Linked DNA regions of Notamacropus eugenii. The protein of the gene in region 2 interacts with the protein of the main gene of each other region in a pairwise test. Links are inferred from orthologs where the notes say so. Each region holds a gene or a part of one and is shown on either strand. Other genes may lie near its edges. The genes, in order: RNF111, UBE2K, RNF125 and SIAH1.

Region 1 (7,168 bases), on a different chromosome or scaffold from region 2:
CCCCTGTTAAGTCCAGTGTCTTCCCTCAGTTATTTCCTATTTATACTGTATGATCCTTGCTTTGTATATATTTGCTTACCTACTGTCTCTGCCATTAAAGTATAAGCTCCTCAAAGGGAGGGACTATATTATTGCCTTTGTATCTCCACCACTTATCTCAGTGCCTAGCACATAGAAAACACTTAATAAATGTTGACTGACTGATTGGGGGCAGGCTACTCTCCCCTTAACTTCTTTCTCCCACCTACCCCACTTTGAAGGATAGTTTAACTGCATTTTGTGAGAGGGTTATGGAATAGTATTGGGCTTGTAATTCGATGTGAAGTCAGTTAAAGCCTGCAAAACAGGGATGCATGCTATATCTCACAGGTTTGTTTCAAGAAAAGCACACTGTAAACTGTACAGTGCTATTTACAAGCTATTACCATGAATGTTATTGGTGAAGAGCCACAACGTATCAAAAGCAGCTTTACTGCTACAAACATACAGAGGCAAAACCCACATATAGCTTACTGTATTTCCTTTTCCACCCTCCAGTCTGTGCAATTCTTAACTGATTTAAACAAGGACTTATAACCTTGATGCTGGGGTCTGTTTAAATACCCTCTTTTAGGATGAGCTCCTCGGAGCGCAAAATGCTCACTAATGCTTCTCCCACCATTTGTTTTCAAGCCAGGTCCTGTTTACCAACCACTGGCCCTCCACTGCTAGCTTCCTCTTACGGGCTTTTCTCTAATCTTTGACTTTCCCTCTGGTTCCTGAGTCCAAGCCTTGAGAGCTCTATGTCTTCTTCTCCTCTTTACAACTTATGTTCTGCCCTCTTCTCATGTCCTTTGTGATGGATTTCTAATCGTTTCTTTAGTGATATCAAGTCAACATTTAATTGGCTTCAGAACTTCATTCAGCATGTTTCATGAGTCATTCAAGGGCAAAGTTTTGACACATTTGTTTGAAATGTGAAGGTTTATCACATGGATCAAGGGATCTCCTAAAATCACCTAATCCAATCTTCTCATTTAAATTTGTGGAAACAGATTATTTCAGATTGTAGATTTAGAGCTACAAGTGACCTTAAAAGATTTATAGGTGAGGAAATGAAGGCCCAGAGAAGCTATTACTTGGCAAGGACATATAGGTGGCAGAGTTGGGATCTGAACACAGTTCCTCTGACTCCAAATCCAATAGCCTTTCTAGGCAACATATTTGGTGGCAGTGAATAACATAGCCTCAAGGGAAGAGAAACTGAAGAGAGGGAGAACAATTAAGTTGTTATTACAGTGACCTGTACATGAAGTTTTTAAAAGGAATTTAGATTATGGAGGTGATCAGAATGGAAAAGAAGAAATGAATAAGAAAATTTTCAAAAGCAGGAATCACAAGACTTAGTGATTTACTCATGAGAGAGGAGTCAAAAATGACCCCAAGGTTTTAAGCCTGACCACTTGGGAAGATAGTTGTGCAACTAACAGAAACTGAGAACTTGAGTGGGTAAGCTAATTGGTGGCATGTGTATTCTCTTTGACAATCCTTCTAACAACCGACCTCTATAGCTGAACTAAATCTGATAGTTTTATGTTCCTCCCTACAAAGGAGGATTCATTAGAGAGAATTGACCCACCTGCACTGCAAAAAACAGAAACAAATAAACAAAAAATCCCTTGCTACAAGAATTCAAATGTTTAAGCTTAAAATTCAGGGAGTAGATCTGTGTTTTAGAGATGTGACACCATATGAAAAAAAGGTCTAAATCACAAGTGATTAGAGAAATGCAAATTAAAACAACTCTGAGGTACTACATAACACCTATCAGATTGGCTAATATGACAAAACAGGAAAAGATAAATGTTGGAGGAGATGTGGGAAAACTGGAAGACGAATGCATTGTTGGTGGAGTTGTGAGCTGATTCAACCATTCTGAAGAACAATTTGTAACTGCCCAAAGTGCTATAAAACTGCTCATACCCTTTGATCCAGTAGTAAGACAGCTAGGTCTGTATACCAAAGAGAGTTAATAAAAGGGGCAAGAGGGAGCCTATTTGCACAAAAATATTTTATAGCAGCTCTTTTCTGTCAGCAAAGAATTGGGATTCTCATCAATTGGAGAATGGCCAACCAAGCTGTGGTATATGATTGTAATAGGATATTATTTTGCTATACCAAACGACAAGAAGGTTGGAAAAACTTACATGAACTGATGCAAAGTGAAGTGAGCAGAACCAGGAGAAAGTTGTACACAGTAACGGCAATATTTATGATGAAGAATTTTGAATGATTTAGCTCTTCTCAGCAATACAATGATCCAAAGACAATTCCAAAGGACTCGATGAAAAATGCTATCCACCTCCAGAGAAAAGAACGGAAGACACTCCAAAGCATACTATTTTTCCCTTCCTCCCTTCCTCCTTCCTTGATTCCTGTTTGAGTTTTCTTGCACACATGACTAATATAGAAATGATTTATGTGACTGCTCATGCACATTTCAGTGAAGGGGAAGACGGCAGGGAGCAAGGGAGGGAGAGAATTTGGAACTCAAAACTTAAAAAAAAATCCAACGAATGCTAAAAGTTGTTTTTACATGTAACTGGGGGAAATTAATATTATTTTTAAAAAAGAAATGTGATACAGTTTTAATTCCATATGCATGGTAATTATGATTAATAGGAATAATCCAAGGATACTTACCTGTTAAGGTGATTCTTCAAGGAAGAGATTATCACTGTTCGTGGAGACTTAATTTTCTTGCTGTAAAAGTAATGATTCTTGCCTCTGAGGTGGCAAGAGATCTTCGTGTTTGATTTTTAGGAAGCCTATTTCTTGACTCTGCAGAGCAACCTTTCGGGGTTGGGCCATCACATACATACAGTCAGATACGCTGGTAAAGAAATCAGTGACTCCTTACTAAAATCTCAATCCTTTCCAGAAGTAAGGAGGGGGAGACCCAGAAAAGGCCACTAAAGCGTCGTGTTTAAGGGTGAGGAACCAGGTCAGAGCCAACTCAGTCATTCAACAAGCATTTATTAAGTGCCAAGTATTCACTTATGTTTTATGGTGTTTAGCATTTTGTTGGCACTCAATGCCTTTCATGCTTAAAAAAAAGGAAAAGGAAAAGAAACCATATAACCCCATGGAACGGTGGCTCAGTAAACGTTATTGCAGTTACAACTTGTCTGACCTCACACCTCGCGTAAGGGCGTAAGAGGGCAGCACTCTTCAGGTAGCCGGGCAGGTGGGGGTTGGGCTCCCAACGCCAGAGGCCTCAGTGCGCAGGTTCCTCCTCGGGCAGCGAGAACTGGTCGCCAGTGCGCAGGCGTCCCCTTCCATCCGGGTGCTGGCAGCGACTGGTTGCGGCGGGGTGGGACGAGGGGCGGGGCCAGTGTTCATTGTGCGCAGCAGTGAGAGACTGGCTGGGATCTCGGGCCCGGCTCGAAGTTGGGGAAGCCGCCGCCGCCGCCGCCGCCCTCAGCCAGCAGCTCCGGAGCTGCCTCCGCTGCGTGCTCCTTCTCTAAAATGGCCGCCACCGCCTCTGGTTCCTCCTCTGCCACCTCTGCAGCCTCGGGGCAGTCGGAGAGTAAGAAGATCAGCGACCTGCGGGTGATCGATCTCAAATCGGAGTTGAAGCGGCGGAACCTGGACATTAACGGGGTGAAAAACGTGCTCGTTTCCCGGCTCAAGCAGGTGAGGCCCGGCTGGGGACGCCGAGGAGAGGGGGCGGTGTCCTGCGCGGTCCTAGGCCGCGCCGCCCGCCCTCCTCGCCTTTCTCTTAGGATGCTACCGCTGGGCCGGCCCGGAGCGCCCCGAGCCCGCGGGGATCTGGTTGTGGGCAGGGGGCTGCGGTGGGCATTGCTGCGCTTCTCCACCCAGCCCCAGCCCCATCCCCGCGCCCACCCCCCGGCTGGGGCGGCGGGCTGCCCACACCCCTCCCCCATGCTGCCTGGGCTCCGCGGGCCGGGCCCTGATGCTGGCGGGCGGGTTCCGGGCTCCGCTCTCCGGGCTCCGCTCTCCGGGCGCGCGGCGGCCGGCCGGGCTCTTCGGGGAGCAGGGGCGAGCGCGTGGCCTTGTCCGGGTCTGAAAGGGAACCGTGTTGGGCTGTAACGTCTCTCGCTTTAGCTTAACGAAGTTGGTTGTTTAAACTCTCGATCTGTATCCGTGGAATACAGATAATCTAAGCCTGTAGAGATCTACATTTTTTGCATAATATAGACTTATTATATAGGTACATATTCTGAAACATACGTTATTTTTAAATACACGCGTAAAGGTATAGATACACATATTTTAATGTTTAGCGTAGGTCGTCTATGTGTATGCTGAATATAGATAACAATACGTTTTATATTACGTATGGATATCTTTGTATTTAGAGATCTATGTACATAAATTCACGTATGGAGAGATCTAGACACATAGACTTATTTCTGGAGAGGTCTACGTAAATGTGTGTATGTAGAGAGATCTAGATACATAAACTTAATATATAGAGATCTACACAGACTTGTATAGGTAGAGAGCTACATAAATGTATGTAGAAAATCTGTATACATAGACTTATTTTTGTAGAGTGAGCTACGTAAATCTATGTATATACAGGTGACTATACTTTTAATTCTCACATTCCATAGTAACGGTTGGTCTTTCAACGGTTGAACCTCTTGGTTTATTTCTGGGTATGTCGGGATTGTGGGGGAGGGAAAAAAATTTCATCAGAAGAATAAAGGGAACACTTGTTATTAAATTTAAATGGCTCATGATATACAATACCGAAGTCCAGTTAATATTCCACTCGCCGCCGTGGGTCCAGTTTTTATGGCTCCCCTTTATTGTGATTCTTTAACATCATTGTGTTGCAATTTGATTTTACTAATCATGCGGTGGAGTTTTTTTCACAAGCATGCTTTATTCACTCTTAAGTAGCTTAATTTCTTGAAGTAGGTTTTATGACAGGGCTGCTTATTTTAATATCTTGCATTTTCAGAAGACTTGAGATTTGTTCATCTTTTATTTCATCACTTAAATGTCAATTTAGGTAAAATTTGAAATTAAATTTTATTATTAAAACATGAATTTAAACAGAATTTGTATATTAATCTACCTTTCTAACATAGGCAATTGAAGAGGAAGGAGGTGATCCTGATAACATTGATCTGTCTTCTTCGGGTGATACTTCCAACAAGAAAGCAGCAGCTAAAAGCAAAGGTTGTTAAAAGCTTTAAAAATATGTATGTTATATAACTCCTCTACGCTTGTGTGTTATTTGCCCTGTTTATATAGTGCTATGCTTTGCAATTTGCCATTGGCATTCTGCCTTCTTAGATCATGGAAGACTTCATAGTAATGATTGCCAGAATGGAGGTGACTTTAATTTTGTATATAAGATTGTTTTGACTCAACCTTGACTAAAACCTGAACTTTATTATCATGTTACTAATCATGATTCTTGATATCTGTGCCTCCCTAATATAAGAAAATGGGTAGGAGGAGAAAAAGAGGGGAGGACAGGAAATTAACTGATTTGTGTTTTTGAAAATTAATTTTTTTCTTGGCAAATTCATTTTCAGTAGATAAGCTGGTACCAATTTAGTTATAATCCATATGAATAGAATTCAAATTAGTGTATATTCACTGTAATTAAAAATTTGGAACTGTTTGAGGTTCTTCCCTCCATTTTTTTCTTTTTCTCATTTATAATCAGAACTTGATTTTTTTGTAATTTTATCAAAATATATTTCAGTAATGTAAGACTTTAACCATCTCATTTAACTTTACTCTTCTGGATGTCTATAGAATTCTTTTAGCCTAAGTTCCTAAAATTTATTGCTTGACTGTGTTTCAGTGAGTGCTTAGTAAGGTTTCCTCCAGAACTTATGGCAAATTCTTTTAACCCTGAGTAATTCCTTCCAGTGCTGTTTTGAAAATCCTGTATATTGCAAAGAAACATATATAGTAAAATGATAATTGATAACTAGGAATATTGGGATGTCATATAGTTCAGATACTGTTTTTGTGTTAAGTAAAACATTCTAATTTTTTAGTTTGGTTTTTGGAATTCTCATAAGAAGGAAGAAATTGGGCAAAAATCAGCGCCTAAATTAAGGACATGGAAATTAAGAATTCCTTGAATATAATTTCAGTTTTGGGGCCTTTAATTCATTCCCATGTAAAGTACTTCTTGTCACATCTCAAGTTACCTGATAGTTGATGGGTTTGGGTTTTTTTTTTTATCTTTCCCTTTCTGTCCTCATCTCCCTCCATTTTCCTCCTTTCATTCCCTCTCTCTCTCCCATCTCTTAGCACTAGGTCTCTCTGTTTCTCCATGACTGAAAGTAGCTACCATTCATAGACCTGATCCTGCTATTGCTCACCTTGGAAGCTCTGACTTAGGTTTTCTGACTTGGGCTACTTCTACTGTCCTTAGGCAGCTTAGTGGCCCTGTGCTATTGGGAGTTTACCATACTGGTGCTGAACTTGGAGTGGACCCCCAAAATCGGCTTCAGCATTAATACATCTAAGAACTAAGCTCAAGCCTTCCAGTGGCTTCAGCCTCAGTACAGTTATGTGCCACTTTGACTTGCCTAAAGATTCTTAGCCTGGGTCCATGAACTTGAAAAAAAATACTCTGCTAACATTATTTCAGTATAATTGATTTTCATTGTGATCATATGTATTTTTTTAATGCATTTTAAAACATTCTAAGAAGGGATCCATAACAAAAAAGATTAAGAATCCTTGTGTTACTGTCAATTTTTTTAGTATATATCCTTGAGCATGTTACACAAAAGCATTTCACTTACCCATAGATCACTTATTTGATGACTTTAACTTTGGAATATGGATAAGAAAACACAAAAAATCTGAATCTGCAGTAATAATTAGAATTTTTATTTACCTGAGTGCTTTACATTATCTCATTTGATAAGTAAAATCCTGCGAGATAGGTTTGATTACTTATCCCTATTTAATAAATGAAAAAACAGATGCAGGAGGATTAAAAAAGTGACTTGACTTGAGTCCTAGAGTCAGTAAATGTCTGAAATAGGATTCGAATTCTGGTTCCCCTGCTCAGTTCACTACACCATTGGTGTGTGAAACTTGAAAAAGATCCCTCTGGCCCACACACTGACTTTGAAAACCAAGAATTAACATTATCATATTGTATTTTTATTTTGTTAAA
Region 2 (8,018 bases):
AACCTCTTTTCATATTCCAAGAGCTTTAATTTTTTAAAATGAATCTACACTGGAAGAAAACCTGTTCACTATAAACAGTCTTAGATTCCAGGATGAAAATATCTCACTAAAAAGATCACCTTTTTCCCCCTCATCGTTCCATGAATTCCATTTCAATGTCGTTGAAAATAAACGTTAAAAGCAAAAAATAAAAATTCATGGTTTTAAGACTACCTTGCTATCAACAATAAAAGTAAAACTAAATAATAAATTCTGATGGATAACTTGGGGCTAAACAGCGGACCTACCTTATGACCCATTCCATTAATTTTGAGTTACTATTTCTTTAAAAAACATTTTTGAAGTGACTTATTAAGAATAGGTCCAGAGATCAAACTCAGATGAAACCTTAATAGGAAACTTTGAAAAGACTATGTGTCAATTAGATTTCCAAACTCAGACCTAAGAAAAAAATCTGGACAATCCTTTCACAAGATAATAAGTTAAGAATTCTTACTATAAAAATGTTCTTTTACAACTACAAAGGTTTCTGAAATGCAAAATGCCTTTGATATCAGCTGATATTCTCCATAAATACAGACTCAATATATAAGCAAACTTTGGACAGAAAAGAAAAAAACCCAAAGTAGTGAAAGAATACGACCAGACATTCAAAATATTGTTAACATTAGAAACAAAATACATGAATTAAGCTAGGAGTCCTCTCTTCTAATGAGCATAATTGGTGTTAGAATCCTTTTATAGAGCTTGATCTAATAAAAATAAATGATGGAACCTGTTTTCATCCAAGATTAAAAGGCTGAGACCCTTCCCGGGCAAAAGTCCTTTTCTACTGACTTGGGGGAAGGAGGACAAAGAAGGAAGTGCTTGCTTTCAGATGTATATGGACAGAGTTAAGTTCCCAAAAGATGGACCCTGGCATATAAGGTTTTTCTTCTGGACACACCAAGATAGTTTTCTCATTCTAATTTTGCCACTCCCAAACAACTCCCATGGGGACAAGGAGTACACAGGAATACTTGTATTCATTCAGTTATGCATAAACAAGTATTTCTAGAAACTCTGAATTCAAGTCCTTAGAATACCATGGTAATAAATCAGTCACCATTAAAACGAGTCAAAGAAACCAATATTAGAAGTAGTAAGGTGTACTTTGTAACTAGGAAATAGAAAAGGAAGCATTAAATCCATATTAAGATTTGTACAACTATTTTTAAAACCTATCCTTTTACTACGGTTACTCAGATTGGATGCTCTGAAGCACCTCCATTTCATTAGTTAGAATCACCCAATAGTCTGTAGCAGTGCAGACACTTAGGACTCTGAAGAGCGCAGTGGTTTCTGCACTGTACCACAAAAATACACAGTCATTCTTCCATTCATTTTGGCACTTGAACAAACATACAGGTCAAAGTTCACACACATGCTCTGTGGAAAAGACTCATCTGGAATACTAACACAATATACAAACATCCCAAATGTATAAAGTAGCTAGCAAAGTAATTTTTTTTAAATCACAGGATACTATGTCTACTTGCAAAGATGTGGCATTTTTTTCATATGATCATTGCAGACTCAGTAAGTTTTTAGGCCAGATGTCACCCTAGTAATGATTTCAATAGAATACTAAATTTCAAAAGTAACACTACTACTTATTACTAAAGTATCATAATAAGAAACTTAAAAGAGATCATGATCAGAACGTAATTATACTAAATATTCTGCTTCTATTTTAGGGAAGATACATAAAAATTTCCAATTAAACAATTCCATACTCTGATTATCATATGGTAATAAGTAATGCATCATCTATATCTGTTTTAAGTGGGGGAAAACTGTTTTGAGAGATCAGCATTGTTGCATGACAAACCATAAGAACATTACCAGACTGTAACATACATGAAGCACTAATAGTATGCATCGGTCTAGAAGGAACAGGAAGAATTTTGGCCAGCTGGAAATTTTTAATCATTCTTTGAACAGTCAATGATAATTAAATCACCCATCATTCTTGTTCAGAAGATAGTCGGTGAACCTTCCTATTTTCAAATGCTCTTTTTCAAAGATATTATACAAGTAAACTAAAAGGGACATAATTAAGTTTAGTCTACAATTTAAGCCACTGAGGCAAATGGCTTAAAGAGATGGTGTCTACCAACCTTTAGAGATTATATAAAAACACAGTACTGTAATCTGTTCTCACCAACCACTGTCACTGGCTAAAAATATTAAATTCACCGAAGAACTGCCTGCCCTCAGACAAACCCTGGAAGGGTCAATGCAGAGGCCCATTCCTGGGGCACCTGGAATGAATCATTGATTTCAACTGAAAAAAATCTCTTCCCTCCACTAGGACACTGAGCCACCATGTTGTCCTGGTCCCTTTCCTGCCTACCTTTCATCCAACCCATCTAAGAAGAAATCCCCCCAAGTATCGTCCTCCCTTTTTTCAGCAGTGCCCAGGGATCTTTCCCCAAGAACAGATGGGGGAGCCCTCCGGTCCGGGCCCCCGATCCCCCACCCAGCAGGGCCTGGGGCAGACCTGCTTTCCGTCCGTTCTCTTCCCACCTTTCCCCTTCCCCCAACCCACTTCCCGGGGTTTCTCGGCCTCGGCCTGCTCCTTCCCGGCGCCGCCGCAGCCACACTTCCTGCAGCGGCGGCCGTGGCGGCCGTGGCCGCCGGGCCCCTTCCCCAACACGGTCCCCCCCAATCCCAGCCTCGCCTTCCGCCGCCCTCCCGCCGGTGACACGGCCAAACCGGGGCCCAGGGCGGGGGGTGGAGGAGGGAGGCCGCCTCCCGGACACGGCGCGGAGGGGAGCCGGGCGTGCGGGGGGCCGCCCGCGGGGGGCCGGGGGGGTCGAGGAGGTCGTGCCTGGGAGGGGAGGAGGCGGGGGGACGGCCGGGAGTTCATTCCTGACCTCCTCGCTCTTCAGCACCTCCTTGAACTCTCGCTTGATTCGCTGCACCGCAATGTTGGCCATGTCTCCTCCCGCAGCCGTTTCGCACCCCCCGCCTCCGCCGCCGCCACGACCGCCGCCGCCGCCGCCGCCACCTCCGCCGCCTCCTCCTCCCTCAGCGATTCAGACCCGAGCAGGGGAGCCGTGCCGCCGCCGCCGCTCTCTCCTCACAGTGGATTCACCTCCGCGCCCGGCCACCAAAATGGCGCTGGGGCCGCGCATGCGCATGGCGATCGCCCAGCCGGGCGGCGCAGCGGCTCTCGTTGGAAGCCCCCAGGAAGCTTCTGAGCCGCGAGCCCGCCAGCCGGCCGCGAGCTTCAGCCCGTGCGCCGTAGCGTGCGTGGGGTGGTCCCGGGCTTCCGTGACGCGCGCGCGCACACTGCTCCTTCCCCCTCCCCCCCTACTCGGGGATGGGGGCTTACCCGGAGGGGCCCCTATTCAGGCTTCGCCCCTTTCCTTTAAACCCTTCCGCCGGCTGCTAGGCCCTGGCCGCCTCCCGGACCTTGCCCGGGGACTTGGCGGCAGCAGGCGGATCAGCGCACTATGAGGACCCCCTCATCCCCCCAAACGCTTCCCAGTCCATCTCCCTGCAGCCAGCCGGGCGAGGAGAGGAGGCTTTCCGGAGAAGAGAGAAAAGAGGCACCGCAGAACTCCGACCTTTCCTTCAGGGGGCCCTCCTCAAAATCGCCGCCGCCTTTTTTTTGGGTTTATTTTAGGATAAAATCAGGACAGCCCTAACAGGGAATTAGGTTCTCCTTTCTGCCGCCACCCCCACCACCCATCACAAAAGAGTGCTGACGAGGCGCTAGCGGGATACTGCCGCAAAGCCCCCCCGCATGGCCCGGGCCAGCCCGTCCGCAGAGCAGCCGAGAAGCCGCGACGCAAAGCCCGGAGCGGCCTGGAAGTCCGGGCCAGCTTGGCCAAGGGGGTGGAGGCGGGCGGCTTCCCTGGCCGGCGCCCGTCCGGCCCGGGAAGGGCTCGCCATCGAAGGCCTGCCGAGGGGGCTGCGGCCCCCAAGGCAAGAGCTAGGGAGGATTCGAGGCCGGAGTGGGACCTTCGGGTACGGAGCCGGCTGGAGAAGGACTAGACAGGGAGGGGGAGGGGGGCGGGCCGCCACGAGCTTATCTCGCCTCCAGGGACCTGTCTTTGGGTGGGAGGCTTATCTCCAAAGAGCGAGGAAAGATACAATGTTACCGATGTGGTTTTACACAGTGTGCCTAATAAAGACAAGATGTATCCATAACCGCTACAAAAAAATGCGGCGGCAGAAAGGGAAACGAACGAAACGCCCCAAAAATATCCATTTCCCAGCTGACTAACGTCAGACATCAGAGGCTCCCAGCAGAGCCCCCTCGTGGTCCAGAAGGGAGCCGAAGTGTCTTATGTGGGTCACGGTGCGTGAACAGCCCGGCCAGACGACTACACGGAAGTCGGGGTTTGGGGGTTGGGGTTTTTTTTTTTACTTTGTTACGCAAACCTCTGCGTCTGCGCCTGGACCGGTTTTGATCCAAGGGTTTTGGGGTTTACACGCCATCAAAGGGGCATTAGGTCTCAGCCCATAGACACGTCTTCAATGCAAGTCCCCAGATTCCCAACATGAATGAAATTCACAAAATACCAATAGTTCTTTACCAGAATTTTAGGTTTTTCTATAAAGCCATCCGCCAACACCACACAGACCCTTCTGAAAATACGGTAGTTCACCAAGATGATCAGTTTACGAGTTACTCGGCCACCTCAGGTAACATTTTTCTTTTACCTCTTAGTAAGGTAGCGTGAATTATCTTGTGTAGTCGATGTGATATAACTCCCTTATTAAACTTTCACAAAGGCAAGGGCCGGCCGGCATCTAACTTAATGCTGAATTCCTCACATATCCACGTACCCTTTTACTAGGAAAATAAATGACTGTTGCCTTTAAGTTGGGATCCCAGATTGAAAGCTGGGAAGGTTCGGTCCAACCCCCTCATTTTGAAGATGAAGAAACAGGCCCAGAGGTGGAGACTCATTCAAGGTTACAACAGGAGTAAGTGGCAGAATTATTGGGTCTTGAATTCCTATCCTCCGATGCCAGACTCAGCAGCATTCTATAGTAGAGAGGTATTTAATAACTACTTATTGAACTGAATTTTTATTTTAAGGGCTGAGATTTCACAGGATTTCCCATCCTGTGTGCTGCTGGTGTTGTTACAGATGAGGGAAAGGGTTTGGATTGAGAAATGGATTTTCTAATGGCTTGGAGTACTGTGGTAACTTTTGTTACCACTTAAAGGCCTGTTTGGTTTGTTTGTTTTTTTCTGCGATACATTTTATTTAGACTTGACAGAAGATTCCTAACAAAGCATCCTCCAAACCCTCCCTTATTTCTCCAATACAGTTCAAGGAAATAGTTAAACAAAATTGCCTTGTAGACTACTAAAAGTTTTGACTCAGGCCAAATTAAATACCATAGTGTAATAAGGTATGATTCCCCTCTAACGGCACAAGTAGCCTCCACTATTTTAGAATACTAGAATAGTCATGATTTTCCTTTCAAAGAAGAAATAAATATTCAAGATTTCTTTTTTCACTCTTGCATTGATCTTACTGCTCAATTCAGGCACTGTGCTAAGGGTTGGGGATACAAAAAGGCAAAAGACAGTCCCTACCTTTAAGAACTTCACATTCTAACTGCCTTTCTGGGTTGAAGTTTTTTATTCATCCTGCAAAACAGTTCTTTTTTATCTTCATTCTTTTCCTGACAAAGGACATCTGGTATTTTGCCAGATTCTTTAGACTTCTTTCTCTTTCTTTACTTTTACTTCCATCCCCCTCATTTGATTCTCTTTGAAAAATCTCTTTACTTCAAAACATTGAACTCTAAAATAATTTTGCTTTCACTGCACTGACTGTTAGCATACTGTTAGCTCTACCCTTAGCATACTGTTAGTTTCCCTGGGCAGCTGGAATGGGAAGCTCCAGCTGCAGGAGGAGAAGGCTACATTTAGTTCCAGACAGTCAAACTTCTAAACTTAGCTCCAGGCCAGTGGGGCACCAGAGGATTGATTGTGATGCATGCTGCATTATTCCAGACTCAGAATGCATTAGAAACCTGACCAATGTGACTTTTAAAAGATTTGCAGAGTGAAGCAGAAATGTTACAAGGCCAGCTTTGCAAGTGCAGGCTCCCAGCAGAGCCATAATGGCCATCATTATCAAGATAGTAGAAAATGGGGATGTCTCTGAACAAATTCAGAGTGCTTGGAATTCATAATAAAATTTTTCACTCTTTTATATTAGACATTAATAATAATGTGGATTCTAATAAATTAACCTCTTACTGTATTTATTAATTTGGCTTTAGGAAAGTTTAAAATAATATTTACCAATGTAACTTTCAACATTTTTGTATACTTGATTAAGCAAAGCAACCTTAGACCCTAGTGGAGATAGCCCAGGATCCTGAACCCAAGAACCCAGCAAATAGCAATGTACTCTAGTGTATGGTGTACCCCAGGTCCACTGGACCTACATACCACCCAACCTCCATAGCTATCATGAGGGGATAGATCATAGTGGAAAAGAGATCCATCTTTCCTCATCACCAACAGCATCTCTCAGATGGAATGAGGAGCCCTGGGAATGGCAACATCTCCACAGCAACATAGGCCTCACAGTCATCCTCTAGGAGGGCAGCACCTATGGAGAAGGAACCAGTTATCTCCACCAACTGTCAACCAGCTGCCACACACAGGACAGGCAAGCCAGACTCACTGAAGCAGCCAGGCATCCTAAAGTAGAAATAGGGAACAATTGTGCTAGGCAAGTCAAGTTTGTCAGATCCCTGACAAAGACAAGCCCAAGACTCTGACCAAGAGCCTGGGAAATAGTAACTCTTCCAGCGTTATCCAAATGCCATCATCCTAACAGTCAATTCCTCTGGGGATACATCCTGGCAACTACTTATGTAGGTGCTGTAGCCGCAGCTTTTAAAGATGGGGGAAAAAAAGTCCTTGACACTGCCAAATGGTTCAACATCAAGAATAGGTGAATTTATCAGTGGAAATGATATTAAAAAGGAGACACTAGCATCTGCTTTGCCATTGTACCCTAAAGACCGTAGGACTTTTCCATGGGACTTGTACCCGAAACCTTCCATATGTATTATCTCCCCTATTGGAATGGAGCTTTCTGAGAGCTTTTCTATTTATATGCCGAGTGCTACACACATAGTAAGCACTTAATAAATGCTTTATTAATTTATCCATTTATTCACCCTACTTATGGAGGTCTGCCAATTACATTTCCCAGATTCCTGTTAGGGTCTTATGTAGTTTGGAGGAATCAGTTCATTATTTCATTGACTTTTCCATATGCAGTTGAGATTTATTCAAGCTTCACACTGTTTCTTAAGTGTGGAATGCTTCATTTAGATCTGAAAGAACTTCCTTTGGATTTAATAGTCTCTATCTTTTACCCCACATGTAGACACCTCCTTTCACCTGAAGATAGCTACCACTTATCCAATAAGCCTTTTCTTTTCCAGACAAAAATCCCTTGTTCCTTCAACTGATTCTGGGATGACCTAACCTAGAGACCCTGCAGTGAATACTCTCTAGCTTATATATATGTCCATACTAAAATGAAAAATATCCTATCCTCATTTTCCAGATGAGAATACTTAGAAGTAGAGAAGTAACTTGCCCAAACTCACAGGAATAAGACTTAAAAACATAGTCTCCTGAAAGGTAGTTCAGTATTCTTGACATTCTACTTCATCATTTTCCTATCTCGTCATGCTTCAGATTTAGCTGGGCTGTAACATTTAGTAAGAAGGCTTTATTTATTAAGGAAAATGGACTAGTGAATCATTACCCACCATATATAATGATATCAACTTAGTAGTCATATGACTAAGTTCCTCATCTTTAATGTCCAGCTTCTCCATTAGATTACCTAAAAATATTCTCCCTCTTTTTCTTCTCAGGCTGAGAAGGCCTGAAGTCATTCTTCAAGGAATAGGGTACAGGGTAAGGAAGTTGGGGAATACACCCCAGTTATTACTGGGCTTAGCAAACTTTT
Region 3 (7,302 bases), on a different chromosome or scaffold from region 2:
TTTTAACTACTACCACCCCTACTCCCCCCAAGCTGAAAGCATAATATTTCTAGTATTTCAGGAATACATGCCCATGACACCATATACAAAGGTGAAAAAGATTCTTACTATATCTACAGGCCAAACCCTGGGAATCTCTTCAGCCTGTTTTTATAAGTTGGAGGAGGGAGGAGGGAGCAGAGATTTCAAATACTTCTGTGTTTACAAATCAAATACTCTATGGAACATGCCCTTTAAAAAGTAATTTAATTCTACATATCTCTATCTACATCATATCATAACTTTGCTTAGAAATTATCAGTTCAATAATAGGCCAAATTAAATCAGTCTGTCTTCTTCTACACTCTTCTCCAATTTTCCATTTTCGCATCTATTTTTCAGGCTGTGTTTCCTGAAGTTAGAATGCTTTCCCCCTTGCCTCTTCCCAAGGTAAACTGCTATCCATAGTCTTAAGCCCAATTTAAATGCCAGCTACTCCATGAAAACTTCCTTGATCTTTAGGTAATTAGTAAGCACTTCTCCCCCTCTTCTCCACCCATTGCTTGTGCTAAAAAAGTAAATTATTTTAAAAAAAGATTAGATTCATTAAAAACAAAAACATCTCATACCATCATAACTGAAGCAATGGGTGGGTGTGGCAAAGAAACCCACAGTGACTTGAGCTAAGTTAAGATATCCCAAAATGGATTGGGGTTTTTCCTCACTAGATTTTCAAGGAAAGGCTACATCTAGTTGAAGAGAGGATTCTTGTGAGGAATGGGCTGGACTAGAATACAGCCCACTCCCACTCCCACCCCACAGTTCCTATCCAATCTGGAGACCTTTATGTGGCAAGATCAGTTGGTTGCATATACCCCTCTAGCTAAAACAAACGGCCAGAGTATGTTTTCATCCTTCTTTGTGTTCCCAGGGCACGGCCCTTAAAATTAATGCTCTCTGATTGAATGTGATAGTGGAGTTTGGATGGTAGAATCAAATAATATACTTGGCACAACTGCTGAGCTGTGTGCATCTAAGCACCAGTAGGGATCATAAGTTTAGAGCTGGAAGAGATTGACCTTAGAAGGTCCCCTCACCATACAGATGAAGAATTTGAGATGCAGTGATTTGCCCAAGGTTGCATAGAGCCAGGATTTGAAGTCACACTCTCTGGCTCCAAACCAAGTGAGCTGGCCACTAATTCCTGTTGTTCGGTGGTGTCTGACTCATTACCCCATTTGGAAGTTTCTTTTAAGCAAAGATATTTGAGTGATTCGCCATTTCCTTCTCCAGCTCATTTTGCAGATGAGGAAACTGAAGGAGAAACAGGATTAAGTTATTTGTCCAGGGCTACTAGGAAATGTTTGAAGTCAAATCTGAACTCTACGCCGGGTGCTCTATCCACTATGCCACCTACTTTCCGCTAAACAGCCTACTAAAGGCCAAGAACTTCTAACCTGCATTTCCGATCTGGGCGGCTAGGTGGCGCAGTGCCTAGAGTCAGGACGACCCGACTTCAAACGTGACGCTGGCTTACCGACTGTGTGACCCTCGGCAAATCACTAAACCTCCATCCCTCTCGTCTCAGCTTCCTCATCTGTAAAAGGGGGATAATAACAGCATCTCCGTTCCTGGGTTGTACCGAAGATAGAGGGGGATATCTGTAAAGCTTTTTGTAACGACTGAAGCAAGATATAAGACACATAGATATAGATATACACACATATGCTTACATATGCATATATACACTTATTTAGATTACCCATTAAGGAATTAGAAATCATGTAGAACAACTGACTTATATAAAGCTCAGTCGGAGTAAGTGGTTTGAAAAAACCCACCATTTAACCCCTACTTCCCATTAATCATATTTTTTCTCTTTACTGCTAGAAGACCTTGACCTTTCAGGCTCTTGGTAGTTTCCTTTAAAAAGACTCATCCCCAGCAGGAGGTCTTTTGTTTACGCCAGCTCCCAAACTCGAAACTAACCGCAGCCTAACTTTAACAAAGTAGCAAAGCGAGACACCCGGGCGCTACAACTCCGGTAACTTCACCTTCGGCAGGAGGGAGGGGGGGACAGCGGCGGGGGCTGGGGTCTGCTCCGTCAGTGGTTTTCGCCACAGGAGGAAGCGCTGGGGGCGTTTCAGGACACGTGCGCAGCCCCAACAAAACGCGACCCGTCTGGGTGTCGGGGGCCCAGGGAGGCACAGCGCCAGCCCGGCTCTGTTTACTTGGAGAACTGCGCTTGGCCTCAGCCAGCCACTTCCTACTTGCAAGGTCTAGTTAGGCTTGGCCCTAGATAGACGGTTGCCCTGGGGGGTCCAGAAGACACCGGCAACTCCATGCGGACCCAGAACCGAGCGCGCACCCGGGGCTGGGCTGAGTAGCTACCGCGAGCATCCTGGCTAGCCCCGGAGCACCGTCTAGCGGGACCGGACTGGTCACCGACCCGCTAACGTCCTCAGAGCGCTCAGATTTGACTGAGACGCAGCAAGTAGTCGATCTGGCTCGCCCTCTTTCTCCCAATCTTTGTGCCACCTTCAGACAAGGCACTTTCCCGCAGCCGAGGCCCGCCGGGTCCCGGTTTTACAATACCACACCTCCAGCAGAAGCTCCCCATCGCAGAACGCGGCTTTACTAAGTTACAGCTCTTAATGCTCTCCACTGACCTAGGACAGACCCCTTCTTTCTTCCACCTGGCTTCTTTCTGGCCCGGCGGGCACCGGCCACAGCGATCTCGCACCCCGGGCCGCTCCCCCTCACTTACACGTGGCCGCAGCGGGTCCGTACGGGCTGATGCAGCACTTCGAGGCAGACCGAACAATCAAAGGAGGTGACCGGCAGCTCCACTTCGCCCCTCCCGGGCAGGGCGGACGGGGTGGCCCTGGCAGCCGGGGCTGCTCGGCCGCTGTCACTGCTCAGCGCGGAACCCATCGCCTGCCTCCTCTCCAGCCCGGACAGCTGCTGCTAAGCTGGGTGCCTTCGCTTCAATTGTTTTGTTGTCCTGCGGTTAAGGAAGGAAGTCCCAGCCCAGCTGGGATCGCCGCCTCCCTGCCCCCACAGTCCTGCTCTCCGGAGCCAACCCCCGCCCCTTCTAACCTTCCAAGCCGAGACTTTCGCCAGTAACTCCGCCAGTCAGAAGTTATCCTCTTCCTCCAGCTACCCCCAACCATGGGGAGGAGACGGCGGCCGCAGCCGCGAGCACTGCAGTGTCGTCCGCTCCCAGGAGGCTTGAAACCTGAAACCCGAACCGCACAGAGGAATAGCAGCTGCCCACTGTTAGGTCTTCCTCTCCCAAACCAAGAGGAAGGAGGGATGTGAAGCTTTTTTTAACCTTCGGGTTTCTACTTGCCATTACTCTGTTCAATACATCAGGAACCCTATTCAAGCAAAGTTCAGGGTGTTTGCATACAGTCCTTAACCACTGTGGGGGGTTGAGGCAAACAATTTTTAGCAGTTAATTGTTCTAATACTCCTGAAACTGGAGTTCAAAACCATGACAGGTATTAGTAATTTAGAGTCTAGATGGGATCTATCAGGGTAGACTGCAACTAACTGAGATATTTATTATAAGGCCTAAAATATAAGAACCATATATAATACAGTTCTTAATAACGACATTAACTGCACAGTAAAGTGCTCCTTACTTGAGGGCAGGGACTGATGTGAAGGGGGTGAAGAGGGGCTGTATTTTCAGCACTTAGCACCTTCCCTTGTATGTTCTGTAAATTTTCTTGAATCAGATCTGCAGGAGTAATGGATAAATTTAAAGAGGACAATCATATTGATCCTAGTCTGTCTAAACAAGAACCCCGTCTATAAAACAGCCATCAAACGGACAACTATATATTTGGAAACCTCCAAATAAGGGGGAATCTACCCCTCCCAGGGCATTCTGTTTTACTTTTGAATCCAACTGTTAGGATATTTCCCCCTATATCGGGCCTAATTAAAATGAAATAATATGTATATTTAGCACAGTGTCTGGCACATAATAGGTATTAAATAAAAGCTAGCTACCTATTGACTGATTCTCTTCTCCAGAGAACACACACATACATACATGAGGCTGCTAAGTGTCACAGTGGAATAGGACTCTAAGCCTGGAGTCAGGAAGTTCTGAATTCAAACTCAGTCCCAGATACTAGCTGTGAGGCTGGAAAGTTATTTAACCTCTGTGCCTCAATTTCTTTAACTGTGAAGTAGGTTTAATGATAGTACCTACCTCCCAAGGTTGCTGTGAGGATCAAAATAGCATATTTGTAAAGCACTTAGCACAGTGCCTTACACATAGATACCATTTTATGAGTGATTTTTCTCCTCCTCTCTTTCCTCCTCCTTTTCATCATCAATATTATTCAATATTACTTGACTACATTGGTAAAAACGTGGCCGCAGTGGTCCGTATGGGCTAAGGCTTTGGAGTCCTTCTGACACATATTGTCTCAATGACCCTAACAAATCACAACTTCTCAGTGCTCTGCTGCTTCTGTTGCTGTTTCTCCATGAGGACCATAACATCAGGGAGATGATGCCAGGACATGCAAATGAATTGGATTTAAGTGAGGGAGGGCTGTGCAAAGTCACCAGTTTCTTACCTAGAGCTCCCTTGATCCATGAGCTTAGAGATCTACTTTCTTTTCTGTTCCCTCCCCACTAACACTTCCCTAGAATGTAGACTCCTTGAGAGTAAGGCTTGTTTTCTTCCTTCATAGAGTCTTGTTTGCTTGCTTGATCCTAGCCATCCTCCTCTGGATTGATCTCCAGTTTTCACTGCCCTTCCTAAAATGTGTCTCCAAGAACCAACTGAACACAATCCTGATGATGTGTGATCAGTGCAGAGTACAGTATAATACCACATCCCACATGCTGGAACATGTATCTTTTAAAGCAGCCAGATATCTCATTACAATTAGTTAATTAATAGTTTAAATTATAAACCTGCTTGAAGGCATTTGCTTTATAAGAAGTATCTCTCAAAAAGGTTCTGACCCTGGAAGGTAGTGTGGTATAGTCAGGGGTGCACTCACCAATGTTAAACAGCTGACTCTGGGGGGAAAAATATGAAAGGCACACTTTGAAGTGTAATCTCTATGGTTATAACTTTCTCCTTCGTTTTCTTAAGTCTAGTCTATCAATACAGTAATAAATCTAGCTTTGATTTGTAGCATTTGCCCATTTCCTATTTGAGTATGAACTAACCCATCCTGAAAATTTAACCTCCAACTCTCAAGAGCCTGTTCCAGCACACACCTGGGGTAGTAGATAGAGGTAGCTTCAGAGTCAGTTGGGAAAACAGGTTAAAGTCCTTCCTATGATACTTAATGCACACTAGATATATGATCTTCCTCAAGTCACTTTAACTTCTCAGTGTACCAACAACTCTCCAAACAATGAGTTGTAGGGTAGGTGGAGGCCTGCACTGGTGGAGGCCGCCAGGAATTCCCCATATGGAGGAAATCACAGACCTAGTTAAAAAAAAAAGAGCATATGGACTTTTTGATTGCCACATCACACTGTTGAAGTATATTGAGTTTGTAGTTAATCAAACCCCCCAGATGATACATATTTTGCATCTCTCCCCTTCTCTTTAACTACAAGACCACTACTCTAGTTCAAGACTTCATTGTGTTTTGTTTGTACTATTATGATGGCCTCCTAATTGATCTCCCTGCTTTTAGCCTCTCCTCTCTCCAATCTATCTTCCACACAATTGTCAAAATAATGTTCCTAAAGCATAGATCTGAAGATGTCACTTCTGGCCAAATATGTTCAATGGCTTTCCATCACCTATAGGACAAAATACAATTTCCTGGTCTGGCATTTTAGGTTCTCCACAGTCTGTATCAAACCTGTCTTTTCTGCCTTATTTCATATGATTCCCCTTCACAAATTCTGTCCCAGCCAAACTGGACTGTTTTTTCCTTTCATCTCCAGCATTTCTTCCTCTATCCAGCCCTGCCTCCCACCATACCTGGACCACATACCATTGTTACCTCTACCTCTTAGAATCCTTGTATTTCTTTAGGGTGTACCTCTGGTGCTTTCTCTTCTGTGAAGTTTTCTCTGAGTTTCCCAATTCCCTTTCAAAATTATTTTGCATTATACTTATTTATGTATGTAACACAAATCTCAAAGCCCATTTATATGGGGTTCATCTGTGGAGACTGAATACTCAATGCTTCATGCCCATCTGAGGGGTAGAGTTGGTGAAGACTTCTGGCTTCCATCTTTGGGAGAGAAGATCTGAATTCTCCCCTCCCTTCTCCCTCTCCCACCCATTGACAAGGCAAGAAGAACAAAGTCAGTGTGTGTATGCATGCGTGCGTGCGTGCTTGCGTGCGTGTGGTCATGGAGAACTTGTTTCTTCATCCTTTAGAGTTGAGGTTGCTCATTGTGTTGATCAAAGTTCCTAAGTCTTTCAAAGCTGATTATCTTTACAGTATTGTTATGATATACATTGTTCTCCTGGTTATGCTTCCAAGTGAAGTCTTTTTTGCATCATTCATACAAGTTTTCCTTCCCACCTTTCTTTTCTGCCTCTGGGCTCTTGATTTCAGATTGATTTGTGTCTCTATCCCATGTCTAAGAGGCATTGCTTACTAAAGGGCAAACTGTCAGCGCAGTAGGTAGTAGAATGCTAGTTTAAGATGTTACCCCAACTTGACAGGGTTTGTCTTTTAATAAAGAATTCTGACCAAAAGCAGTGAAGATACAAACTGTTAAATCTCTCAAATACTCCAATAGATCTGTATTCTCATCCATCTGCCTAAAAGGCAATCCATCTTTATCTATCCATGTTGTGAATGTCATTGAATCTAGTCATCCCTTGTTCTTGCCAAGTGACTAAAATGTTTTTTGTCTGCTTTTCTTTTTCTGCTCATGCATTTTTCTGATGGATGAATTTCACCAGTGGAACTTTATAGGGGAGATTCATTGTCCCAAAGTTCCCAAACCATCTACTCTCCCTATTCCTCCTGAGGTCAAACCGTATTTTTTACTTGGAAATGGATTAGCCTCTAAAAATAAAATAAAATAAGTCCTTGTAAGGCCATGAAAAACTTTTACAGCATATCCCCAAGCCAAATTTTCTTGTTTTTCTTTTTCCCAACCTTATCAGCTTACCTGTTGAAGTTTAAAGGGACTGGGACCCCGAAATAGCAACACTCAAGTCCTGCCCAAATGAATTTGACCCAAACTTTCTTTCAGTCAAATAAAAACAAGGTTTGTTAAAGCGCTGTCCAAGGTTGGCATGATTCTAAAAATCAGCCACATTATCCGGACTCTTAAGGAAACTCATTCTTTGACTTGTTAATGAAAGCT
Region 4 (6,902 bases), on a different chromosome or scaffold from region 2:
TAGCTTTGAGGTTTGCAAAGTATTTTTATACACATTGCCTTGTTTTAACCTCACAATAATTCTTGAAGTATGTGGGTCTTACAGGTATTTATCTTCAGTAAAGACAATACAAATGAGAGAAGATATGTGTTTGTAATTGAATGTTCTCTAACCTGACTAACTTAATCAGGCAGTTGACACAAATAAGAAATAGATAAAACAGACATCAACACAGAATTTGAACGTTGCATGAGGAAGTTGTTGCAACCTAATTAATATAAGAAATCCCAGAGTCTAGAAATCACTTGACCCAGCAGACATCTTTGTTTTCTTGCTATTATAGACTGCCATGACTCTTTGCATGGCCACACCTGTTTAAAATAAAATTTTTTTGGTTAAACCTTGCCAGAGAATCATGGTAGAAGATGAAGGGTGTTTAAGGATGAAGGTGTAAGAACAGATGAAAAACTAACAAGAATGATAAAAAAGATTTTAAAATAAAAAATTATTGTAGATAAATTTTTTTTGTTTTTAAATCACTTATATTTCTGAAAATTTTTCTTCTGCTACCCTACAAAGCCATTCCTTGTTACAGAATAAAGAAGTGGTGAAGGAAAGTCATTCAGAAAACCCAACACATAAGTCGTATTTGATGCTATGTGTATTTTTTTCCATTCATACCAATTCCCTTCTCTTTCTTTCCCTTCTACCCATCCTCCCCTCCCCCAAGAAGGGAGGGAAGTACATTTCCTTAACTCTTCTCTTGGGCCAAGCTGGATCATTATAATTACATTGCTCTCAGTACCATTTTTTTTTTTTTTTGTTTGCTGCCGTTTAAGTTTACATTGTTGTCATTTTGTACATTTTCTTTCTGCTCCAGCTTACTTGGGCATCTTTTCCTGTGTGTCTTTCCCGTCTTGACTGTAAAGATTTTTATGAACTTTTTCATCATCAGTGAGTGCCTTCGGCCACAACATTGCCACGTTTGTACTCTTAATAGCACTGTCCTTGCTAAAAAAAAAAAAAGAAAAATCATTACATAAAAGAAATATGAAAGGAAAAACTCGACTTTTATTACCCCCCAAAATGGCAGAATGTTAGCTACTGACCTAGGTCCCTGTTTTCCTATTCAAATTTTTTATGAGCTGAATCCATACACACATTAAGGACATCATTGATGAAAGTTTGAACAGTTAGGCACTCCTAAAGGATATTCTGTACCAGATACATTCTTAAGAACACACAGTTGACTGAAAGGTTAAGACAAATATAAGATCTTACAGTCCTCTTCAGGTACTTTTGTTTGCAGATTATTTTGTTCTGGTTTCATCAAATCTCAGATCGTTGTAGAACCTCCTAAATGAGGTCCCTAATGGTCCAAGAGAATTTGCCTCTACACTGGGTGAAGAAATCCTGGATAGTAAGACATGAACTGAGTCTGACATGCAGTTGAATGGACAGCCCATAAGTCCTCCATCAGTACATAAATACTGAGCAGACATTGTGAATGGACAGTGCACTGATCTGAGAACTGAATTGGAGGAGGAGAACCAGTCAGATTGCCTTTGGGAAATTTCATAATGCTTCTAATGACCAAGCTGGGAAGTTAGAATCCTTAATGTAAAAGGTGGGACTTGAACTGAGCATTGAAGGAAAGTAAGAATTTTGAGAGACAGAGGTCATTAGGAGGTACATTACAGGCATATAGGTTATGGGGAACAATTAGAAAGCCTCCTTGCTGTGTGGACCTTAGTGTTGATTAAATAGATTAATATGCAGTACAGCTGGAAAATAGGTTAGGGTTATATTGTGAAGGACTTTAAGTAACAAACTGAGGTGTTTATATTTGTGCCTGGAATAAATAGGGTAGCGACTGGAGCTGACTGAGTAGGGAAATGACAAGACAGATTTGTGCTTTAGGAAAATCACTTTGGCAGCTCTGTCACAAGGGTGGATTGGAGGTGGAGGCAGGGGTGGGGATGGAGATACTTAAGTATTTTGTTTTTATTATGTCATCTTAATCTCCCAGTATATCCTTCCAGCATTTACCATACCCAAAGAGCCATCCTCTCTAACAAAGAATAACTTTGAGAAGGAACAAAAAAGACTTAGGGAGTTCAACTAAACTAATCCACGTGAACTGAGTCTGACAATATATGCAGTGTTCCATAAGTTCCCCATCTCTGAAAAGGAGGAAAAGTGTAGTTTTTAACTTTCTCTTTAGCACTTGATTTCTATTTTTGTTGCTCTTTCAATTTACATTGTTGTAGTTGTTTTGTGTATTATTTTCCTTATTCTGCATCAATTCATATGTCTTCCCATCCATATTTGAATTTTTTACATTTCTTATGTACAGTAATACACAATCATCTGGCTGGGTGAGAAACAGCAACAATTGATAATCACTCCAAAGCTAGGAGGGTCAAAAGGAGCCTTTAGGCAGGGTCCCATTGGCTTCCCAGTTTCAGACTGCAGGAGGTTTAAGGTTTGGGAAGAGGAAAGAACAGGACAGAACAGGAGAAGGGGAAGGGAAGGAAAGGAGCCAGTAAAACGGGGCATCTTTTGGCCATCCATATTTACAGTCCTTTGGAGAGGAGAAGAAAGGGGAGGGGGAAGCAGACAGGAGAGGAGGAGTTAGAATTACCCAGCTCCCTGTGTTCTTCCCCCACCCCCCCATTCAGCCCCTGCATCTACTCACAGGATTGTGTTTTGTCCTTCATTGCCAAAGAAGACCATGTCATCAGAGAAATGATGACATGAGTTGCACTTGACTTTGTTTTGAGTGAGGGAGGGTGTGCAGGTCACCAGCCTCACAGGGGCCATGCCCTGGCTACTTCTTAAAGAGTCCTATTCAATGAATGCTCTTCTTTGCTCCTGTTCTGTTCTGTCCTGTCCTGTCCTCTCCCCAAACCATAAACCTACTTCACTCTGAAACAGGGATGCCATTGGGCCCCTACCTAAGGGTTTCTCTCGACCCTCCTAACTTTGCAGTGGTTATCAACAGTAACTGTTGTTGTTTCCCACCCAGCCTGATGTCTTTTCTTTTTCTTGGCCTCCTTAAAGGGGCCATGTCCTGGCTACTTCTTAAACAGGCCTTTTCAATGAATGGGCATTGCCTCACCCTAAGGGAGTACCTGCAAAGACTGCTCAAGGTCTCCCATTGCATCCTGGGTCATCTCCAGTCATCCTGATGAATGTCTGGTCACTGGATTCAGATTTTTCTGGAGGAGAAGTGAGGCTGGTGACCTGCACAGCCCTCCCTCACTCAAAACAAAATCATGTCATAATTTCTCTGATGGCATGGTCTTCCTTGGCAAGGAAAGACGACCACAAACTGCACAGTAATAGTACATTAGCTTCGTGTAGCCTCATTGGTTTAACCATTCCTACTTTTTCTGCTACCGTAAAATATCATTGATTATTTTGGTTCATATGGAACCTTCCTAGAAAGGAATGCCTTTTGACTTTTTTTGAGACTCATTTTTTTTATACTTGTATCTTTACAGTTATGATTATTGGTTGTGAGTCATGAAATACAGTAGTTTCAGAAGAATTAAAGTTGAGGGTCATCCAACAGGCAATGAAGAAGCGTGGACATGAGTAGGTGTTCAATTATTTCTCTTGTGCAAATTCTGATTTGTAAAGATGTAAGAAATACATGATCAAAAAAAGAAGGTGGGGTCTGTCATTGTCAGATTGTAGGATGGACAGCTCAAATGCTCTTTTCTTATCCATACAGCATGAAGAGAAGCTAAGGAGGTGCATAGCAAGTTGGGTGGAACCTTTCCTCCCTAAATTATGATGAGACCTGGATAAATGACTTTAAAAAGATGAGAAATCATGTGTGGATCGCAGCTGGTGGTATCTGAGGGAGAACCCATGTGGATAAAATTACACCTCCATCAAAGTAAGGGTCCAGGATAAAAATTTTAACAGAAATTAGCAACAGATAAATCTTATTAAACTCCCATTAGTATGTGATTGGTTTCAGTGACTATTATTATTTTTTCCTTGTTGGGGAGGGGGAATGTAATTTTTGATACATTTTAGTTAATTTGACTTGCTTAGTAGACCAGGATTCTGGATCTAGAATGCTGTGTAATAGAATCTTACACTGAATGAGCATGTTTATTACCTTTTTTAGTAGATACGGGAAAAGGTTGGCAAATTGGCTATTTAAATGGATATATATGTACATGTACCTTTAAAAAAATGAGATCCTGTGCCTGAGCCTTTGTATCAGCCTCCCCTATGCCTTCTTAGGGGCTCCTCACCTCTTCAGTGGAAGTATCAGAGAGTCTTAACAATTAAAAAAAACAAGACATTTTTTTCCCATCATTCAGCATTTATTTTCTTTCCTTCACACTTCCCTATCCCCCCCCCCCAAAGAAAAAGAAAAAGAAAATTCTTTAACAAATATGTACAGTAAAGAAAAATAAATTTCTGTGCTATGTTAAAAATGTGTATGTATCACTCTGCATCTTGAGTGCATTCTCAGATGACTATCATTTTTCATCACTGGTGCTCTGGGAATCATGGATGATCATTGCATTTATCATAATTCTTAAGTCTTTAAGTAGTTCTTAAAATGTTATTGTATAAATTGTTTTCTGTTGTCCTCGCTTTACCCTGCATCATACAAGTCTTAACAGATTTCTCTGAAACTCTCTCTTTTTAAATTTCTTATGGAATAATAGTATTCCATTACATTTGTATACTATTATTTGTTCAGGTATTCCCTCTAAGGGTACTCCCTTAGTTTCCAATTCTTTGCCGTTATAAAAAACTACCATAATTTTACTTAGGGAGGGGGTGCATAGGGTCCTTTCCCTCTTTGATTTCTTTGGAGTATAGGCCTAGTAGGACAGAAAGTTACATGGTACTGAGAATGGAAGTTGCCTTTCCTTTTACATTAATGCAACTCCTCTGTCCTCTTCTCAGCAATTACTGGGTTCCATTTGGCACATTTGCCCTTATCCCCAATTCTAGAAAGGGTCCTGGGCTTCCATGCACCAGCAGAAATCTTCATTATAAGCCCATGTTCAATAATTCCCAGATGCCTTAAAAAAATGGCTCATATTTCTTGATTCAGCACATTTCTTAGTTTCAAAATCCCAGTTTTTACAGAGGGCTTAGAACTACTAATAGATGTTAGGCATAGAGATCAGTATCACCCCCCCCCTCCCCAAATTATACGAATAAAACAAGCATCAGTTTACAGCATTTATCTTAAGTACACCATTTTTTCTTCTCTTTTTAAAAATTCTGAACTTAAAACACCAAAAGTATCTTTACACAGCAGAATACAAAAAAACCCCTCCCTTTGAAATTGTGAATTTCCATTTTATACTACTTGCTTTTGTGGAGAAAAAATGTAGTTCTGTATGTTACTTTCAATACAGTGTTGTCTGTGCTTCCTTCTGTGCATTAAAAAAGGTCCATTTCAAAAAAGTGTTTCATTGACTTCAGTGGCTTGGGAGGGAGGCATCCATTTTATTGGAATAGGTTTAGGATCTGACATTTAATCTCCATACCTCCACTTTATAGCTGCATCTCTGCCAGTTTTTATCAAGTTGGTTCTTTTCCTAGTGTCTCAAATTATTCTAGTAAGTAAGGCATCTCCTGATTGGTTTGCTTGATCCCAGTTATGATAGCTTTGTAATAGTGTTTACTTTGCATATATAATATGTATAGACCTGGTTTTACTAAAAAAAATGAAATAACTATTTAAAGAAAAACAAAGTTGAAATGAGGTATAAAATAGACATTTGTTTTAAGGAAAAAAGCAGTTTTCAAATGTGATGTCACTTGAACAGCTAGTCAAAGACCTTTTTGGGGAGGCGCTGTGGTAGAGTGAAAGAGCCCTGCCTAAGAGTCAGAGGACCTGAGTTCAAAAACCATCTTTGACAGGTACTTGTGTGACTTTAGACAAGTTACAAGTCTCTGGATTGCAATTTCCTGATTTGGAAAGTGAAGACAGATTGAACTAATGGCCTCTGAGGTAATTTGTAATCCTTTGTTTATGATTTGTTTTACTTTTGCTTCTGAAATTTGTTTTAAATTGACTTTAGCTTGAATTACATACTGTCATAGGTTGAGAGGTTAAAAAAAAGAAAACTTTTGACTGTGACGTGGCATTGGAAAATGAAGCTAACAAAATAATTTGATAAAATTTTTTCATCTTTCAATTGTAATGGAACAATGAAATTGAACAAATGTAAGTTAAGTTAGAAAAAACTAGATGAATGACTTGGCATTAGTTTAGGCATAATTTATGTTAATTTACTTTTTTGTTTGCCATTAAATTATTGAAAATGAATCTTTAAGAACTGCCATGATATCTGGTTTTTGCTGATTCTTTTGGTGTACCACCCTGGTAATTTGTTTAAATAACATTATTGGTAAAGTTATGTTCAACTTTGAGTAAAAGTAGTTCTGTTGTGTTCTGGTTAGTGAGAAACTACTTTAATAAAGTCACCATTTTAACTGTCTTCTACTGGAAAATGTTTTTTTGTGGAGGCAATTTATTCCGTTTGGAGCTAAAATTGAACTCAGGTCCTGCTAACTCCAGTGCCAGCCTCTCTCTATCCACTGTGCCACCTAAACTGCCCCAAGTTTTTTAAAGTGTGTTTGAACATTTCAGTTTAATTGATAGCCATTTTTGATTACTTTACAAGCCATTCTAATTTTATAATTAATTTCTTGAAAGGTGAATATTTTGGTATTTTTCTTTTTTGTGACACTAAGCTAATCAAGTTTTGAATTTTCAGGCATTCTGGGAATCTAGTCTTGACTCTGCCTTTGAACAAATTGCTTTTATCTGGGCCTCAGATTTCTTATCCATAAAATGAGAGCTGACTTGTTGCACTAGGTAACACCCAAGATACTTCTGTTTGAAAGGTCTGCTAGTTAGAAATAATCAG

What was found.
Region 1: the proteins of UBE2K (region 2) and RNF111 interact in binary tests that used the Homo sapiens proteins (3 or more experiments, as listed by UniProt). The link is inferred for Notamacropus eugenii from reciprocal best matches to the Homo sapiens genes UBE2K and RNF111.
Region 3: the proteins of UBE2K (region 2) and RNF125 interact in a two-hybrid assay, tested with the Homo sapiens proteins (2 studies listed by BioGRID and IntAct). The link is inferred for Notamacropus eugenii from reciprocal best matches to the Homo sapiens genes UBE2K and RNF125.
Region 4: the proteins of UBE2K (region 2) and SIAH1 interact in binary tests that used the Homo sapiens proteins (3 or more experiments, as listed by UniProt). The link is inferred for Notamacropus eugenii from reciprocal best matches to the Homo sapiens genes UBE2K and SIAH1.

What each region holds. Positions count from the first base shown.
Region 1 is NC_092872.1:137,330,472-137,337,639, forward strand, and holds the start of RNF111 (E3 ubiquitin-protein ligase Arkadia), read right to left. Parts: upstream 3,006-7,168; 5' UTR 2,683-3,005; intron 1-2,682. Other genes in the region: SLTM (SAFB-like transcription modulator), read left to right, coding at 3,508-3,675, 5,103-5,193. UniProt on the Homo sapiens protein: E3 ubiquitin-protein ligase. Required for mesoderm patterning during embryonic development. Acts as an enhancer of the transcriptional responses of the SMAD2/SMAD3 effectors, which are activated downstream of BMP.
Region 2 is NC_092877.1:93,756,823-93,764,840, reverse strand, and holds the start of UBE2K (ubiquitin-conjugating enzyme E2 K), read right to left. Parts: upstream 3,005-8,018; 5' UTR 2,982-3,004; coding exon 2,919-2,981; intron 1-2,918. UniProt on the Homo sapiens protein: Accepts ubiquitin from the E1 complex and catalyzes its covalent attachment to other proteins. In vitro, in the presence or in the absence of BRCA1-BARD1 E3 ubiquitin-protein ligase complex, catalyzes the synthesis of 'Lys-48'-linked polyubiquitin chains.
Region 3 is NC_092875.1:258,756,139-258,763,440, reverse strand, and holds the start of RNF125 (E3 ubiquitin-protein ligase RNF125), read right to left. Parts: upstream 3,018-7,302; 5' UTR 2,914-3,017; coding exon 2,747-2,913; intron 1-2,746. UniProt on the Homo sapiens protein: E3 ubiquitin-protein ligase that mediates ubiquitination and subsequent proteasomal degradation of target proteins, such as RIGI, MAVS/IPS1, IFIH1/MDA5, JAK1 and p53/TP53.
Region 4 is NC_092872.1:463,105,699-463,112,600, reverse strand, and holds the start of SIAH1 (E3 ubiquitin-protein ligase SIAH1), read left to right. Parts: upstream 1-3,900; 5' UTR 3,901-6,902. UniProt on the Homo sapiens protein: E3 ubiquitin-protein ligase that mediates ubiquitination and subsequent proteasomal degradation of target proteins.